Canis lupus familiaris: one gene and its partners. The protein of the gene in region 1 purifies or fractionates together with the protein of each later gene. This does not show direct contact. Links are inferred from orthologs where the notes say so. Each region holds a gene or a part of one and is shown in the gene's direction. Other genes may lie near its edges. The genes, in order: PRDX5, PRDX2 and PRDX1.

Region 1 (6,028 bases):
GTCCTGGATGAAGAGGGGGCACGAGCAGCTGGCTTGGGGGAACTTGGGGCCGCCCTGCTGCAGCTGGTGAGGCGACTGCAGGCCCTGAGGCTGGAGCGTGAGGAATATGTCCTGCTGAAGGCTCTGGCCCTTGCCAATTCAGGTGAGTCCATGGTGACAGGTGTCTCCAGGAGGCCCTCTAGTCTGTAACCCTGATTGTGGCACCATCTCATCTCACAGATGATAAAAATTGGGGATTAGGGATGAATAGTGTTTTGTTTCAAGTCCCAAAGGTGAGGGCAGACCCAGGAACTACATGTAGGATTTGGAGCTCTAGGGCCATCCTTATGTGGACAGGTGAACGATTCAGTGGGAGGGAAGTGGGGGGAAGACAAAAGGTGGCCATAGGTGAGGAAGAAAGGGTGGGCCATGGCTCATGGGCAGGAGCAGTGAGTGGTGCTCCAATAAGCCTATCGGATCTGCATCTGGCTCCTCCTCAGGCCCCATCCCACAGTGCTCAAGCAGATGTGGGCTTAGCCATTTCTGGAGATGGTCCATGTCAACAGCATCTGACCCCTCCTTGCAGACTCCGTGCACATTGAGGATGCCGAGGCTGTGGAGCAGCTGCGAGAAGCTCTACATGAGGCCCTGCTGGAATATGAAGCCGGCCGGGCAGGCCCCGGAGGGGGTGCTGAGCGGCGGCGGGCAGGCAGGCTGCTGCTCACACTACCGCTCCTACGCCAGACAGCGGGCAAAGTGCTGGCCCATTTCTACGGGGTGAAGCTGGAGGGCAAGGTGCCCATGCACAAGCTGTTCTTGGAGATGCTCGAGGCCATGATGGACTGAGGCAAGGGGTGGGCATGGGTGGGGGTGCTGGCAGGACCCGCCCGGAATGGGTTCAGCCCCAAGGGGGCAGAGCTGGGGTCTGGGCAGTGCCACAGCCTGCTGGCAGGGCCAGGGCAATATCATCAGCCCCTGGGAACAGGCCCTACGCCCTCCCCTCCTCTCTCCCAGGGGGTCTTAGAAGCTGGGAATGTGTGCGCCCAGGCTCTGGGCACAGTGCTGCCCCTTGCAAGCCATAACGTGCCCCCAGAGTGTCGGGGGCCTTGCGGAAGCCATAGGGGGCTGCAGGGGACATGTGTGTGTGTGTTGGGGGCGGGGGCAGAAGCCTGATCTCAGGGAGGGAAGGGAGTGGAGGCAACAGTCTCCCAGTGGGTGATGCTTTTGCTGCTGCTTAATCCTACCCCCTCTCCAGAGCAGAGGGGGATTTGGAGAGCAAAGGCCCCTGCCCCCTTCGCTCCTCTCCTCATCATTTGCATTGGGCATTACTGCCCCCCCCCCCCTTGAAGCAATAACTCCAAGCAGGCTCCAGCCCCTGGACCCCTGGGGTGGCCATGGCCCCCCATCAGCTCCCACCCAGCCTCCTCAGGGGGTAGTGAGAGCACTGCCTCTATGCCCTGCAGAGCAATAACACTATATTTATTTTTGGGTTTGGCCAGGGAGGTGCAGGGACATAGGGCAAGCCAGGGCCCAGAGCCCTTGGCTGTACAGAGACTCTATTTTAATGTATATTTGCTGCAAAGAGAAACCGCTTTTGGTTTTGAACCTTTAATGAGAAAAAGAAATATATCGAGCTCAAGAACATCGTGTTTCTCGTGTGTCACTGGGTCACGGGTGGGGATACACGACGGACTAGCAAATAGGCTAGATATAAACAGAAACATACACAGTTACAGACTTCAAAATTAGTATCTGGCACGATTAAGTCTCGGTTTCCTCATCACTCAGCAGCATGTTGGGGATCCCGCGACTGATGGGGAACAGACGTCCAGACTCTGGGCACTGCAGGGTGCCCTCCAACACATCCACCTGCGGGGAAGCGGGGAACAGAGCTGAGTACCCGCAGCCTCGGGCTGTGGCTGGGTGGCCGGGGAAGCAAGCGATGGGCTTGCTCTCACCTCCAGCAGCACGTGGTGCATCTGCCTCAGGAATTTCTCATCATGCTCATACCCTTCAATCGGCCCTTTGGGTACCTCGACCAGATGCAACTGTGGGCAAAGGCCTAAGTCATCTCCGGGCGTCCCGCCCCTCGCTCTGGGCTGGCGGTGAGACCACTCCCCCCCGCCCCACTCCCCCGGAAGGTGAACACGGGCGTGGGGGAGGGTCCTCACGGTCTCCGCCGCCTCCAAAAGCGCCGCCCACTCCACCTTGGGTATCATACGCGCCACGAAGTCGGGATTGAACTCCACGGGGTTGATGCGGACCTCGGTGGCCTGCAGGGTGGAGGGCTTCTGTTAGGGACCAGAGCCCGGCTTCTCCATTCCGCCCAGGGCACGGCCGCGAGCCCGCCCCCCCGCCGTTACCTGGAGGCGCAGAGGGAAGCCACGGGGCCCCACCCCCCGCACATGCGAGCTCAGCAGGTTGTGGGTGAGCAGCTTCATGTCGCGGCAACGCGCTTTCCCCAGGCCGGAACCGGAGGAAAGCAGACGCTCCTCGCGTCACTTCCGGAACCGCTCCCGTCTCTGTCCTATTGGACGGCTCGGGCCAGCGGAAGTGGCCGGCATGCTGCAAGTTCCCGAGCAGCCGGGGCGGAGGGGCTTGAAGAGCTTGGTCGGGTCACGCGCTGCTGCCGGAAGCGGCCTGGCAGAGGACTGCGGCGTAGCCCCAGTGGCTTCCATTCACTACAGATCACGCTCAGTGTAGATCACGTGTAAAGCCGCCGCAGCGCAGGGGCCTTTGCTGAATGCAAAATAAACATGCTTTTCTCCTACACGGGCGGCCTGGCACCATCGTCTGCCGCCCCTCGCTTCCGGGTAAGGAAACGCTGCGGTCAATCCGTAAATTACGCCCACCACGAGAGCGACAACCCATCCCTGCACGCAAATAAGCCGCGCGGCTGTCGAAAGCCCCGCCCGCTTGTAACTGCCCTGGTTGTCCAGCCCCAGACGCCCAAGAGCCGAGCGCCCCAGAAGCCCCGCCCCTTGCTCGCGCCCCGACGCCTGCGCAGTGGAGGAGCCCAGCCGTGGGCGGGCCTCGCTGATGCTCCGCCTCTCGCGGGATCCCGCGGGGGCTTATCCTGCTGGGCCCCGCCCCTCGCCGCGCCTGGGCCGCGGGGGCCGGGCCGTGGTGCGCGGCGGGGTCGGCGTGCGGCCGCTTGCGTTGGACGCCCTGACCGGCCCGGTGGGCTCCGGGTTCGTCCCCGCGGCTGCCTTCGGGTCTGCAGCACAGGCAGTGTCGACAGCCGGAGGGTGCGGCAGCGAGGCAGGGACTGGACGCTTGGCGGGGCCCACGGTTTCAGAAGCGCCGCCTCCGCCATGGCCCCAATCAAGGTGACCGCTGGCCGGGCCAGCTTGAGCTCCCCTCCCGCCCGTCCTCCCGGGAGAGAATCCCCCTCCTTCCTGCCCTCAGGACCCCTGCCCGCCGCGCCGGACGCTCCTCCTGCGGTTCTCCCTCAGCCACACCCTTTTGCAGTCTCGCCAGTTTTAGGGGACTTGTACCCCATCCACTGGACAGCCCCAGAGCTCTCGAGCCTTCCCCTCGCCCCCTTCCCATTTCCACCATGCGGCACCAAGATGGGTCTCCACCATCTGTAGGCGTCTCCTCCGCCTTCCGGAACCGGCCCTCTCCTCTGCCGCAGGGCTGCTCTTCAACCCTCCTACGTGCCCCTCCCCTGCAAACCTTCCTGCACGTTCTTGTTATATTTTTGGGGCATCACTCTTCACCCCATCGTCTGGAACAAGTGTTTTCCGTTAGAGCCCCTGTTTTGTCTCCTCCTTTCCGCTTCTCCCGCAGCTCATGCCCACCCTTCTGCCGAGTCTTTCAAACCCTCACCTGGAATGATCCTGGGAACCCTTCCACGTTCTTCTGAAACCTCCTCCTCCTTTATCTTCCTCCCACTCCCTGATTTGTCCTCCCTTCCCGTATTTCCTCTGGCTCCATGAAACATTCACACACTCTTCCTAAGTAGACTAATCCATCCCCTTTGAGAAATTCCTTTTATTTTATTCCCCCTCCCCAACTTTTCACCTTCTGCTGGTCTCCCCTTTTCTCTTCCTGAGCGCTGGACACTCAGACCTGGCCAGGGGCCTCTCCCTCCCTGTTGTCAGCGTCTCCTCCTCACCCCTTAGATAGGCCCCATGCATCTCCTCCCCTGCCTGCAGATCCCACTTCTTTCTGGTAAGAAAGAGACTCCCTGATTACTCAATCCCTTGCAACACCCAGGGAGGCCTCCTCCTCCATTTTCTGTTGTCATCAACAAACCGGTGAAAGGAATAGGGCCATCTTGAAACCTGGAGGATGTGGAGTAATCAGGCGGTGGGGGGAAGAGGGTAGGTAGGGTGGCAGGGAGGGATCGCTGGAAACTGGCTGGTTAGGATGTTACAAGTCTGTCAACTCTGCTCCACTAGAAGGAACTGCCTGGTCTGGTTTAACACCTTTCCTTTGGCCTCTTTACCCACCCCCTCACTCCCCAACTCCTTATTTCCTTGTCTAGCCTATCTCTAGTCATCTTTGCTCACTTTTAAAGTAACCAAAGTAATCATGAAGCCATTCCCTCTAGGTGGGAGATGCCATCCCTTCGGTGACGGTTTTTGAAGGGGAGCCTGGGAACGAGGTGAACCTGGCAGAGCTGTTCAAGGGCAAGAAGGGGGTGCTGTTTGGAGTCCCTGGGGCCTTTACCCCTGGCTGTTCCAAGGTGAGACCACCCTTCTGGGACTCCCTGGTTGGAATCTTGTGTATACATCTGTATTGTTCCTAAGTCCTAGGGCAGCTTGCGACGAGGACACATAGATAAGGTGACAGAAGGCCTATCAGAGCACTCAGAAAATAAGTGGAGGTGGTGAAAAGGTAGTGACATCAGGAATGCAGGAGAAAAGGGTCTTGTGATTAAGTCCCACCTGTCTTATTGATGTTGCTGGTGATGGGCACCATGGATGGGCACCATGGAAGGTGCTTGGGTAAATAAAGTATAGTCATGTCCCTGGGATGAAGTTCATGGTGACTACCGAACACTCGAGTTTGGACCTGAGCTTCCTTGTGGCTTATGCGTTTCTAACGGTCTGATCAAAGATATTCAAAAGGAAATGAGGATTTCCTGGAGATAATGGGTAGGCCAATGAGCAGAGGCAATTATCCCTCTGCTGACCCTTCATTTCCCCTCCTAGACCCACTTGCCAGGATTCATGGAGCAGGCTGAGGCTCTGAAGGCCAAGGGGGTCCAGGTGATAGCCTGTCTGAGCGTTAATGATGTCTTCGTGACTGAGGCATGGGGACGAGCTCATAACTCAGGAGGCAAGGTGAGATGTGGGCCCTGCAGGGGGTCAGGGGCCAGGCAGGGGATTGTTCTTTTGACCTTTACTTTCTCCTTAGGTTAGGCTGTTGGCTGACCCCACTGGGGCCTTTGGGAAGGTGAGTGCACACCAGCAACCCCCACACTAGAGGGTGGTCCCTGTGCCGGGCCTTGGATACAGGAACTGGGAGGGACATGGCTATAATGTGAGGGACAGCTGGTGGGGACAGGGCTTGGTCTGTTCTGGAAGTTTCTAAGCCTTGTCTCTGCTTTTTCTTTTAGGAGACAGATTTGTTACTAGATGATTCATTGGTATCTCTCTTTGGAAATCATCGGCTCAAGAGGTAAAAGTAGGAGGGTCTTCTGTGGGGTTCCCCTGCACCCCTTCGACCTCCATTCCCAGCCTTCAGGCCTAGGCTGTTGTAATTGGCTTGGTGTCTCTCTCTTAAAGATTTACTTATTTTAGAGAGAGCGAGAGCATGCACACAAGTGTGCAGAAGTGAGCAAAGGGAGAGGGAGAGAGAGTCTTAAACAGACTCCATGCTGAGTGCAGAGCCTGATGAGGGGCTTGATCTCATGAACCTGAGATCATGACCTGAGGGGAAACCAAAAGTCAGATGCTTCACTGCACTACCCAAGCGCCCCTGGCCGTCTCTCTTTCTGGCAGGTTCTCTATGGTGATAGAGAATGGCATAGTGAAGTCCTTGAATGTGGAGCCAGATGGTACAGGCCTCACCTGCAGCCTGGCCCCCAACATCCTCT
Region 2 (6,101 bases), on another chromosome or scaffold:
GACTGGTTCTCCCAGCTGTTCTCCCCCTCCAGTTTGCACCCGCTCCTGCACACACCCAGGAACCACCTCCCCAGGGTCACACCTCGGGCTCACCTGCCACTTTCAGGGCTTCCAGATCTCCCAGGCGGGACAGGGGGCAATAACAGATGGCGTAGACCATGGGGCCTGGAGAAGCGAGTGTCCAACCAGTGAGCCCGTGAAAACCGCTATCCTTATTCCATCATCACCGCTTTTTTCGGTGCCATTACCACCATCACCCCCCTCCCCGGGTAGGGTACAATCCCGGCTTGCGTTCCAGTGCAACGTGCATTCCCCTAATCACGCCCCTCCCCCAGCCCAGCCCTGGGGGCGCACCCAGCACCGGGCCCCGGCCCGCTTCATCGACGCCCAGGACGCAGGGCTCCTGGCGGCACACCGCGGGCACAGGCGAGCTCAGGCGACAGCGGCCCGTGTTGTCTCTGTCCAGCTCGCTGAAATCCATGCCGTCTCTGCCGCCGCCACCGACCGCAAGAACCAGGTCTACAGGAGCGGTTCTAGGCGCGCGTTTTCCGCCGGCCCCGAAGCGGCTCTGGCTCCCGACCAATCGGTGCCCGGGACACGCCCCCGACGCTCCGGCCACCGTTGACGTTTCCGCAGCCGCCACCGAAACTCCTGCCGCGCGGCTTCCTGGGAATTGTAGTTCCCAAGGCCGACCGCCGAGCTCCTTCGGGGGAACGGGGTGGGCGGGGTCGCCTTCCAGGCTCCGCCCCGGAGTCCCTGACGCCCCGCCCGTCGGGGCTGCTAGGAGATAGGGAAATAAAAGTGGGAAACTGACGCAGGCCTTGGAGGCCGAGGCCCAGCCAGGGCCTAGAAGGTCAAATATCACTATACTGCCAGACTACCGCCAGTGCCCACATCACTGGGTCCCGGTCCCCGATCTGGATGCTGGCTCTGGTCCCTGTCCCTGCCATTCCACACAGGCTAAGCCCTCCGGACCAGGTATTCCTACTTCCACTGGGCTCAGGCCTTCAGATTTGCTGTCCAGCTCCCTCTCTCGGTACCTCACCCAGACTCTCGCCCTCCCTTTCCCGGCTTCCTAACCTCTCTCTAACTGGGGCTAGGCCTCCTCCACCCACCCCCTCCCAACTGTGATCCCAGATCTCAATAGGCTTCTGCTGAGAGTCTGAGCCCACAAGGCAGGGCCATTACCCCCAGTTGAGGGTTCATGTCCCCCAGTTCTCGAGTCTCAAAGGGGCTCACATCGTCACCCTATAGGTCCTTGACCCTCATCAGGCTCATGTCCCTTCCTCAGGGTCACAGTTCCTCCATCTCTGATCCCCCCCTCCCGGCCCATGACTAGCTTTCTTCCTTTCTCCCCGGGTATCAGTGGGGCTCACGGCTCCTGACTCAGCTCACCTTTCCCCACCATCTTTAAGCCTCATCCCTAAAGGCTCTCCTGCCCGCACCCCCCACGCCCCGCCTTTTCTCTCGCCTCATCCCAGGCCCTGAGGACTCCCAACCCCGGACTAGACCACCTGCCCTGGCCCCGCCTCCTCTGCGCTAGTCTCTCACCCGGGTTCAGGGCCTCCAGTCGCAATCCGTTGGTTTGCAGGATGAACAATCCCGTTGCCTGCAGGGCCGCACCTGCACCAGATTCTCGCGGTCCATGAACACCGGACCCGGCGCCGTGCCCAGGACCTCGCGGCTGCGCTCCTGCTTGCCCAGGTCGCAGAAACAGCGCCACTTCCCCCAGGGGCCAAGGATCGAGTCCTCCAAGTCTAGGGATAGAGGGCCAGGTAGGGGGGAACCTACCCCCGCCATGCCCTCCTCTAGGAAGAGAGGCAGATAAATACACTAACAACAACATCTCCTGTTTGCTGGGCTCTGCGTCTGTGCCAAGCACTCCACCATAGATGATCTAATTTAATTTTCCCATTATTCCCAGGTGGGGAAACTGAGACCTATAGAAAGCAAGCCACCCCTTGAGCTGATACATCTGGTGTGTTGCCCAGAGGAATTGCAAACTGACACTTCCCACCTGTGCCAGCCTGTCCAGTTGGGAGTGTGATACAACACCTTTGGTGCCCACCATCTGAAGCTGACTCCTGTCTTGGGGGAGTGGTGATAATGGGCCTGTTCAGTAGGCATAGTGCCACCTAACCAGCAGGGATGCCAGGTGGTAAATTAAGTGACATAATTGGCATAATATAATGAAGGTACTGAAAGTCTCTGGTGATGTGCTAGCAGGTAATACAAAAACAACTATAATGACCACTTTTCAAGCAGCTCCAACCTTCTGAGTGCTTATCAGAGGCTCTTTTACAATGTTCTTTTATGGACTCCTCCCTATGCCCCTAGGAAACTGGTCTTATCCCAACTCTGCAGCTCACAAAGTCCTAACACTTCATGCCTTCCCAAGACAACACTGGCCTCTTTCTTTCCCTCCGCCTGGCCTCTTGGCTTTGGCACTTGCTGTTCCCATTCCCTGGCACACTCTTCTCCCTCAATCTTTGTATTTTTCGCTTTTGCTGGATTCCTGCTGCATTGGTTACCGATCTGCTCCGTCAGGCCTTTTCCGACTTGAGACATTTACCCGCCCCTTTCTTCCTCTATCCCTATACTTCCTAGCGCTCATCCATGAGTTTATGGATGTGTCTGGTTCTGGATTTATTGTCTACCCATATCCCCCTCTGCCCCTGTAAGCGGTGTAAAGTCAGTCTCTATTTCAACTTACAGGTAAGAAAACTGAGCCTCGGAGAAAAGTAACCAGCCCAAGGGGGCCAGCCAGTGTGCAGACGGGGAGAGATCTGAAGTCCCTGGACGAGGGTCTGTTTGCAGCCAGCTGGCAAAGTGGGGCAATAGGGCACCTTTCCGCACCATCACCCCCGCAGCGTGCGGTTACCTTTTTCCTGATGCTGCAGCCGCAGCTCCTCCCAGAGGTCGCCTTCGCTCTTCTCGCCGAAGTAATTGTAGTTGGGGGAGACCCTAGCAGGGGTCCCCAGAAGCAGGAGAATCAGAGGCGGCAGCAGTAAGTCCGCCGGGCTCCGGGCCATGCCGGACTCCAACCGACCCGGGCGCGCTCCGAGGAGGAGCTCCTCGCGGGGGATGCGGTGGCCGCGTCACCCCCCGCCAGCGGTGGTAGTGGTCGGGGCCCGCGTTCCCCGACTCCTCCCGCCGCTTGCGGGCGCGTGGACCCGGCCGGCCTGGTTCCCCACCCCCCCGCGGTTGCAGTGGACCCGACCGCTCCGCTCGTCCGCCCACCCCCCCTCGCCCTCTGCGTCATGGTTCGGGCCGCGCATAAAAGACACCCAGGCCCAGGGCGCGCTCGGCGCTGAGAACGTGTGTTCGCGCGTCTGCCAGCCCGTGCGCGCCGCCCTTGCCCACGCAGGTATGGACACCTAGAGGGCACCGGGCTCTGGGAAGCCCCCCCCCCACCCCACCCCGGAGCGGCTCCGGCCGGGTCCAGACCTTAGCGCTGCAGCCTTTGTTTCCGCCCGCCGGAGTGGCCGCCTTTGTCCTTGCAGGGGAAACCGAGGCCTCGGCCTTGCAACACAGGCCGCATCGGCGAGCTCCCCACCCCCGGCTCGCGGGGGCTCCTCCCGGAGCGGTGGGCTGGTGCCAGGGAGCTCAAGCCGAGACGCTAATGGGGGGCCCCGGCGCCTGCGGCCCGGCCGCTAGTGCTGGTCAGGGGGGCGGGTCTCCTGCAGTGTCCAGGCCGCGCAGCCCGGTACCCGGGAGGGTGCGGGGTAGTGCTGCGGCCTCTGCCTCTCAGTAACCGGGCCCAGCACGCAGCATGACCTTGGGAAGGAACGACAGAGGGTCTTCCCGGGCGCGCTGACCAAGCGGGGGGCGGGGGGGTGTCTCAGCTTGCAGTCATGACCTCTGGCAAGGCGCACATCGGAAAGCCCGCCCCGCCCTTCCAGGCCACCGCCGTGGTGGATGGCGCCTTCAAGGAGGTGAAGCTTTGCGACTACAAAGGTGAGGGGCAGCCGAGAGTGGGCCCAGGTGGGGGTGGGACCCAGGCGTTAGAGGCCTAATTCCTTGTCTATCCCCGCTTCCTTCCCCAGGGAAATACTTGGTCCTCTTTTTCTACCCGCTGGACTTCACCTTCGTCTGCCCCACGGAGATCATCGCCTTCAGCGAGCATGCCGAGGACTTCCGCAAGCTGGGCTGTGAGGTCCTGGGGGTCTCCGTGGACTCTCAGTTCACCCACCTGGCTTGGTATGAGCGGGACCCGCAGGGAGGGAGGATGTCACCGGGCCTACATTCTCCTCAAGGATCCTTCTTGGGGCTGTTGCTCAACGTCTGTGCCTTCCTTCCGCCCCCCCCCCCCCCCCCCCCCCCCCCCCCCCCCGCCGTCTTGAAAATAATAGCATTCAGAACGCCCAAGTCCTTAATGATGATGGCCTAATTAGCATTTGAAAACTAGTTGCTTGGCCCAGGGAGTTGGAGATGCTTTACCTCACTTAGGGCTACACAGCTTCCCTTCCAATAGCTATTTCAAGAAGGTGGAAACTCCAGTTCTAGTTGGTGAAGGGCTGGGCCCCAACACACAGAACTAGAGAGGAGGATGGGGGGCTGTAAGGCAGGCTTTCTGCCCTGAGCTGTGGGAGGTCACCAGCACATGTGAACACCCTTGACTGGAGCTAGAGCCTTGGCTTAGTGTTCGCAGCTGTGGGAAACAGCCCCTGCAGCCTCTTGAGGGTGGAGTGGGTGGGGATCCTAGAGCCTTGCTCTAAAGCCCCTTATCGCTCAGCTCCAGTACCTCTCCTCCAGTCTTTATCATACCTAAGCCCCCGGGGTGAGGATCCAGCGCTGTCTCTTACACCCCTAGGATCAACACTCCCAGGAAGGAAGGAGGGTTGGGCCCCCTGAACATCCCCCTGGTGGCTGATGTAACCAGAAGTTTATCTGAAGATTATGGTGTGCTGAAGGAAGATGAAGGCATTGCCTACAGGTACTGTGGGGGCCCTTGAGAAGCCCCCGGTCCTCAGGGGCAGGGGACAATGCTTGGGTAGTGTCTTCCCTGCCCCCCAGCCCTGTGGCCGGCTGGTAGGGAGGTGTTATTCCCTCCCCTGGCCCTGGCAGCGGGAACTCCCAGTTCCTCACCATGAACCCTGATATCTTCAGGGGCCTCTTTATCATCGATGGCAAGGGTGTCCTTCGCCAGATCACTGTCAATGATTTGCCTGTGGGGCGCTCCGTGGATGAAGTTCTGCGGCTGGTTCAGGCCTTCCAGTACACGGATGAGCACGGGGAAGGTGAGCACACACATTCACCTGTGTTCACCTGTGGGTACATACTCAGCCCTCATGCAGACACTCACTGCTCTATCACTTGTGTGGGATGGATATGAGGGCCCCAAAGAAGACTCAGTTCGGGGCCTTGTCTGCAGGACCTTTCTAGTCTGGTGGGGGAGATACCCTAATATGAGGGTGGGGAGCCAGGAGTTAACAGATTTACAGAAGGTATTTGAGAAGGCATGTACCAAGGCAAGCTCGGATAATATTATTTGGATCAGGGCAGCCCCGGTGGCGCAGCGGTGTGGCGCCGCCTGTAGCCTGGGGTGTGATCCTGGAGACCCAGGATCGAGTCCCACATCAGGCTTTCTGCATGGAGCCTGCTTCTCCCTCTGCCTGTGTCTCTGCCTCTCTCTCTCTCTGAATGAATAAATAAATAAATCTTTAAAAAAATATTAGTTGGATCAGAGTACTCTCGTGGGAGGACACAGCCTGGTCACAGGCCCTCGAAGTCCAGTGGATCTATGGCTGAAGGAGAAATAGGATCCAAAGGGGTCAGAGAGAAGGGTGCCAAGGTGGCTCCATCAGTTAAGCATCTGACGCTTGGTTTTGGCTCAGGTCATGGTCTCAGGTCCTGGGATCCAGCCCCTTGTCAGGCTCCACACTTAGCAGGGAGCCTGCTCAGAGGATTCTCTGTCCTTCTCCCCCTGCTCGAGCTCTCTCTCTCTCTCTCAAATAAATCTTTATAAAACAATGGGGAGGGTGTCCAAAAAGAAATAAAAATGTCAGCCAGAACATCCTATAGCTTGAAGGACTTCTCTCAATATGCTGTATGGTCATGGGCCTGTACCACTTGGCTCTGGGCTTTTGCTTCTGCTACTC
Region 3 (6,130 bases), on another chromosome or scaffold:
AGAGGGAGAGAGAGAGAGAGAGAGAGAGGCAGAGACATAGGCAGAGGGAGAAGCAGGCTCCATGCACCGGGAGCCCGATGTGGGATTCGATCCCAGGACTCCAGGATTGCGCCCTGGGCCAAAGGCAGGCGCCAAACCGCTGAGCCACCCAGGGATCCCTCTTCTGGTTTTTGAATGACACAAATAAGCCCAAGTGCCCCAGTCCAGGCACATGGAAGATACAATAATTTTTTTTTTCTGGCTGAAATAGGACTGTGTGTTGTTGGTTTAACCTGCCCATAGCAATAACCATCCACTATAAAGCTCTGAACTTCTACATTTCCCCTGCTGCCTCTTGAAGGAAATAAATAATGGCCAAATAACTGTTCATTCTCAGGTAGAGAAGGAAACAAACAAAATTATGATTGTTGCTAGATAGGGTGATAAATGCAGAAAAATTTTGAGATGCTCAGGCACCTTGACACAGCACGTTCCCATTATTTTTTTAAAATTTTCTTACTTTTTAAAAAAATTTTTATTTATGATAGTCACACAGAGAGAGAGAGAGAGGCAGAGACACAAGCAGGCTCCATGCACCGGGAGCCCGACGTGGGATTCGATCCAGGGTCTCCCGGATCACGCCCTGGGCCAAAGGCAGGTGCCAAACTACTGCGCCACCCAGGGATCCCTTACTTTTTTTTTTTTTTTTTTTAAGATTTTATTTATTCATTCATGAATGAGGGACACACATAGAGAGAAAGGTGGAGACACAGGCAGGGGGAGAAGCAGGCTTCTGGCAAGGAGTCCAATGTGGGACTGGATCCCAGATCCCAGGATCATTCCCTGAGCAGAAAGCAGATGCTCAATCGCTGAGCCACCCAGGCGTCCCAGCATGTTCCCATTTTTTATCCTGCTATGATACATAAGGCAGTTAATAGGATGGTGGTGGTTGGGGGGTCGTGATAGAGGCAGTGTGGACATAATGTATTTATTACATGCGCCTATTTTATATCGAGTGCTCTGTTATGTCTTAGGGACATGAGGTGTGTGTAACCCAAACCTTACTTTCCAGAAAGTCAATGTAGCAAGAAGAGACAGGCATATAAACATATAAAATAGCTTAAGAGGGCAGCCCCTGTGGCTCAGTGGTTTAGAGCTGCCTTTGGCCCAGGGTGTGATCCTGGAGATGCCTGATCGAGTCCCACTGATCGAGTCCCACGTCGGGTTCCCTGCATGAAGCCTGCTTCTCCCTCTTCCTGTGTCTCTGCCTCTCTGTGTCTCTCATGAATAAATAAACAAAATATATATATTTTTTAAAGAGGTATTTTGTATAGCTTCTGGCCTTACAGGATGTTGTTTTGGGCACAAAGGACGGAATGATAAATTCTGGGGAGGAGCAAAAGCCAGAACAGCTTTCCAGGACTTTTGAGGATGAGCCAAGGTCCGGAACAGTTCCAGAAGTCATGCTTCGGCGGTCTTCAAAGACATTTTCTCTAGGTCTACTAGGAGGGAACAGATTCTTCATATTTGAACAAAAGCCTGAAGTCTTGAAACAGCGACACATTGTTCTGGGTGTTACAATCCAGCTAGGAGCAAGGAAGAATTCTATAATAACAGCTAACATTTCTAACGTATAATAAGAACTAGGAATTGTGCTAAGTAAGCCACAAAGATGATCCCAAGGAATTACTAGTTTTTTTCCATTTTACGGGTGAGAACAATCAAGGCCACACATAAAATGACAATGAGTTTTAACTCAGGAAACAGACTACGGAGCCCCAGTTTTTAAAACCACAAATCAGAGGAGTGAACTGATCAGATTTCAGAAAGATTCCCTCTAGCCGCTGCGTTAGGAGTGGGTGGGAGAAGGAGAGCAGCAATCCTGTAAATCAGAATAATGAAGGAGGTTGTCTAGGTACTGAGGCAGCACTACGGCAGAGGCTGCGGGGATCGGGGTGGCATATGTGAGAAACACTTGACAATTTTAAGTGCTTGATGTGGATTAGACGTAATCCTCCGTGGGGCAAGACCAATACCGCGGTCTGGGTCTTGAGGGCAGGACGCGCAGGAGACCCTCGCAGAGATCCCAGAGTAACAGGGGCATTGGGGCCTCGACACCGCCGCCCTCGGCTCCCCGACCCTAACCGTCGGCAGCAGGGAGGGGGATCCCAACCTTCCGAGCCCGAGCCCGCCCACCGCGAGGGAAAGTGCTGAGTCATTCTGGCGGGGCGCGTTGGCTGGGGCGGGGGCGGGGCCAGATCCCCCTTCCCTCTCCTCCTCCTGCACCCCCAGCCCGCTCTGACTCTCGCGAGAGCCCCGCAGGCTATAAAGGCAGCGCCCCGCGCTCGCCTCACGCGTCTTCTTCCTGACTGGTTATCGGCGGTTAGTCTCCTCAGCGCTGGTGAGAAGGTTCTCCACGCCCGGGTCGTCGTCTTTTCCTGGTTCTCCCAGGGTCTTGCCCTACTTGGCTTGGGTGCTGTGACGGGGGAGGTGGCTGGACGAGGTCTGGCGCTCGAGAGTAGTTAGGCGGTCCGCGCGCCCTCCCTTACGGACGCGGGGACCTGTTTAAACCCTGAGGCTAACGTCGGTTCGAGTTTCCTCTTCCCCCGGCAACCCGAGCGGAGGGCGCTCATTGGCGCGGCGAGGGGGCCTCGTGGTAGTGGTGGGCTCTCCTCAGCTAGGCTCCTTCCGGGCGGGGCGGGCTCAGGAATCTTCTAGAGTGGACCTGGAAACTGACCTGAGGCTACCCGCCTGTCGTGTGGTGGAGGTGATGACTGTTCCCGGCCCTCCGCTGGGCCTACATGGGCAGTTTCCGGTACTGATTTCCTACCCTGGCTTTATTTTTTGCGTTTGTGTAATAGGGTTGTAGTGATCTCAAATTTGTCAAGACTGCTTTTTTTTCTTTTTTTTTTAGGGGGGGCGGCTAGTGCTTTCCTAAGTGCTGTGGTGGGGTTTCTCATGGGAGCGGCAGGAGGGAACCTGAAGCGGGATTTGGGGGCGTGCCTTTAGCCTTGGAAGTTCATGGGCAGATCCACCGAGGCCCACGCCGCCTTGAGGTCTAAGGGCCTTTACCCCGCCGAGTCGGTCTTTAGTGGACGTGAGAACCACGTGGAAAAGCAGGTTTGGATGAGGAGGTCGTTTATGTTAGGATCACACACCCCCTCTATATTTGGTCGCCAAATTGCAACTTGCCTTACTAGGTTTTTTTTTTTTTTTTTAAAAGGCGTTAGCAATAGAAAGTTTGCAATAATAGATGCTTGGTTTTATGCACCAAAAAAGTTTGGGATTTGGGAAATTAGCTTCTTGAGCCTTTCAAACTGATGACTTACTGGTTTACATCTTAATTCCTTAACTTTGTGTTGACCTGAGTGAATCCAGTGCAGCATTGCTTTTTAGCAATGATTTGTTTTGCAGTAAGGATTTTTTTTTAAGGTTAAGTAATCTCTAAATCCAGCATGGAGCTCTAACCCACAGCCCTGAGATAGAGTCACATGCTTCCAACCAACTGAGCCAGCTAGGCTTCCCAGCAATAGACCCTTGTTCCACTTGCTGCTCCAGAATCCTGGCCCTGAGGTCAGAAACCCACCTTTTTTTTTTTTTTTTTTTAAAGATTTTATTTCTTTATTCGTAGAGACAGAGAGAAAGGGGCAGAGGCACAAGCAGGCTCCATGCAGGGAGCCTAACATGGGACTCGATCCAGGGTCTCCAGGATCACACCCCAGGCTGCAGGCGGCGCTAAACCGCTGCGCCATCGGGGCTGCCCAGAAACCTACTTTTGAAAGGACTTCTAGGGCTTAAACACAACCCTTGAAGTTTTGCAATTTAGCAGATGGGAATCATGTCTCTTAAAGACTTGGATTAGGGGGGCAGCCCCTCTGCCTGCCTCTCTCTCTCTCTGCCTCTGAATAAATTAAAAAAAAAAAACAAAAACAAAAACAGAAAACCAGAGTTGGATTAGGGGTGTGCGGTCTCTTGGGCAAATGTACCTGGAGAAAGGTCATGTGGACTTCTTGAATTCTGAAGACAGATAAAGATGCAGTCCAGAGAAAGGGCAACATGACCACTTCTAGAGATCAGACATTCTGTTTGTGGAATTGTTCATTTGGGCTCAGCTTTGATATCGAACCTTCTTTCTCTGGAGCTTTTTGCATAATGAGAGTACAGAAAATGTCACTGCATAAATGATCGTTTAGGAAAAGTAAGAGGTTACTTCAATTTTTAAAAATTGCTGTTTTTAAAGGAAAACAAAAGCTGATGTTCAGAGAAGTATTCTGATTTTTTTTTTAAAGAGTTATTTATTTATTCATCCAGAGAGTGAAGAAAGAGGCAGAGACACAGGCAGAGGGAGAAGCAGGCTCCATGCAGGAAGCCCGACGTGGGACTCGATCCTGGGTCTCCAGGATCACACCCCGGGCTGCAGCCGGCGCTGAACTGCTGCGCCACCGGGGCTGCCCTGATTTTTTTTGTTTTGTTTTAAGAGTGAGTCTTCTAGCGCAGGGGAAGGGAAGAGAGAGAAAGAATTTTAAGCAGGCTCGGTGCTTAGCCTTGAGTTCATGAACTGGGTTTAAATCAAGAGTCAGACGTTTATTTTTTTATTTTTATTTTATTTTATTTTATTTTTTTTTTAATTTTTATTTATTTATGATAGTCACAGAGAGAGAGAGGCAGAGACATAGGCAGAGGGAGAGGGAGAGGGAGAAGCAGGCTCCATGCACCGGGAGCCCGATGTGGGACTCGATCCCGGGTCTCCAGGATCGCGCCCTGGGCCAAAGGCAGGCGCTAAACCGCTGCGCCACCCAGGGTTCCCTTATTTTATTTTTTTAAGAGTCAGATGTTTAAAGGACTGACCCACCCAGGCGCCCTGTAATATTTGGTTTTGTTTCATAAGTTAGAAAGCTCAGTTTTCTGAGCTTTCTCAGATGCGTCTTACTAATATAAAAAAATTAGTATGTATATTTAGGGCCACTGGATAATTCTTTTATTTTGTAGCTAAGTGTCTAGGTAGAAGGGTGTTGGTTACTTAGAAAAATAAGGCTTGTTTCTAATTTACTTCCTCTTTTCTCCAGCCCATAGCAAGATGTCTTCAGGAAATGCCAAAATTGGGCATCCTGCTCCCAACTTCAAAGCCACAGCTGTTATGCCAGATGGCCAGTTCAAAGACCTCAGCCTATCTGACTACAAAGGTAAGAGTAATTATATTAGATTTATTAAAATGGAATTATTTTACCATCTAGGATGGATCATTAGATTTCTGTATATCTGTTAGGTTTGATTGTAAAACGACTTCTCCCTCCTAGGTCAGTCTTCAAAGTAGGTGGCTGTTTTTATGTTGAAGTGATGTAGTGATTACCAACCATGATGACGGATAATCCTGTAGGTTCAGACTGCTTACGGGAAAAGCCCATGCTTTGTTATGCCTGGACATAATAGCTCAATTATTTTCTCAGTACTCCTCAATTCTATTGGAGATACTCCTTGAAAGCTCAAGTCTTGGGGCGCCTGGGTGGCTCAGTTAGGCATCTGCCTTTGGCTTCTGTCATGATCCCAGATCTGGAGCACTTAATCCAGCTCCTTGCTGAGCAGGGAGTCTGCTTCTCCCTCTCTTCCCCCCACCCCACCCCCTTGTGTGCACATACTCTCTGTTCCTTCAAGTCTTTGGAGCTTACACCATTAATTTTTTGAGAGATGTATGTCAGAAAAAAAAAAAAAAGAGATGTATATCAGAGTTGCTGTATTATTAGCAGAGGCTTAGGCATATTCTCCTGACTGTTTTGCCCTAAGAGAAGAGTTGGAACAGTTTTCTTTTCCTGTTAAGTTTCAGGTAGACCTTGGCAATCTGATAAAGCTCTTCCTCTTTTTTTTTAAACCTTGCAGTCCTGGAATGAGGGGAGGGTTTTTCTGAGATAGTTGATGTACAGATTCCTTGAAATGCAAATCTGAAACTCAGGTGTTAAGTGTACCTTTTAACTTAGTGGTGCAGTAATTAGTTCCTGGATTCAGTTTATGGGAGGAACGTGTGACTAAGGTTTCCTAACACATCACACTTGTTTGGAATGAGAAGCAGTTAAGAAGGGGCCCAATGGAGGGAAGAAGCTTCTCTGGCAAACAAGGTAAGTAGCACCACTGGGAGGTGACCTTGGCCCAAGGGTAA

What was found.
Region 2: the proteins of PRDX5 (region 1) and PRDX2 fractionate together in Homo sapiens (co-fractionation; 3 studies listed by BioGRID). This does not show direct contact. The link is inferred for Canis lupus familiaris from reciprocal best matches to the Homo sapiens genes PRDX5 and PRDX2.
Region 3: the proteins of PRDX5 (region 1) and PRDX1 fractionate together in Homo sapiens (co-fractionation; 3 studies listed by BioGRID). This does not show direct contact. The link is inferred for Canis lupus familiaris from reciprocal best matches to the Homo sapiens genes PRDX5 and PRDX1.

Annotation. Positions count from the first base shown.
Region 1 is NC_049239.1:53,258,867-53,264,894, reverse strand, and holds the start of PRDX5 (peroxiredoxin-5, mitochondrial), read left to right. Parts: upstream 1-2,546; 5' UTR 2,547-2,735; coding exon 2,736-2,792; exon of another isoform or gene 2,793-2,836; intron 2,837-3,069; exon of another isoform or gene 3,070-3,293; coding exon of another isoform or gene 3,294-3,308; intron 3,309-4,338; exon of another isoform or gene 4,339-4,353; coding exon of another isoform or gene 4,354-4,398; intron 4,399-4,537; coding exon 4,538-4,672; intron 4,673-5,141; coding exon 5,142-5,273; intron 5,274-5,346; coding exon 5,347-5,385; intron 5,386-5,548; coding exon 5,549-5,610; intron 5,611-5,933; coding exon 5,934-6,028. Other genes in the region: TRMT112 (multifunctional methyltransferase subunit TRM112-like protein), read right to left, coding at 1,741-1,848, 1,938-2,252, 2,343-2,420. UniProt on the Homo sapiens protein: Thiol-specific peroxidase that catalyzes the reduction of hydrogen peroxide and organic hydroperoxides to water and alcohols, respectively.
Region 2 is NC_049241.1:49,748,743-49,754,843, forward strand, and holds the start of PRDX2 (peroxiredoxin-2), read left to right. Parts: upstream 1-2,471; 5' UTR 2,472-2,616; coding exon 2,617-2,715; intron 2,716-2,881; coding exon of another isoform or gene 2,882-3,032; exon of another isoform or gene 3,033-3,197; intron 3,198-3,208; exon of another isoform or gene 3,209-3,367; intron 3,368-3,845; coding exon 3,846-3,957; intron 3,958-4,046; coding exon 4,047-4,200; intron 4,201-4,813; coding exon 4,814-4,936; intron 4,937-5,109; coding exon 5,110-5,240; intron 5,241-6,101. Other genes in the region: RNASEH2A (ribonuclease H2 subunit A), read right to left, coding at 94-165, 355-481; THSD8 (thrombospondin type-1 domain-containing protein 8), read right to left, coding at 1,558-1,757, 2,882-3,032.
Region 3 is NC_049236.1:14,928,483-14,934,612, forward strand, and holds the start of PRDX1 (peroxiredoxin-1), read left to right. Parts: upstream 1-2,348; 5' UTR 2,349-2,380; exon of another isoform or gene 2,381-2,640; intron 2,641-5,045; 5' UTR 5,046-5,056; coding exon 5,057-5,162; intron 5,163-6,130. UniProt on the Homo sapiens protein: Thiol-specific peroxidase that catalyzes the reduction of hydrogen peroxide and organic hydroperoxides to water and alcohols, respectively.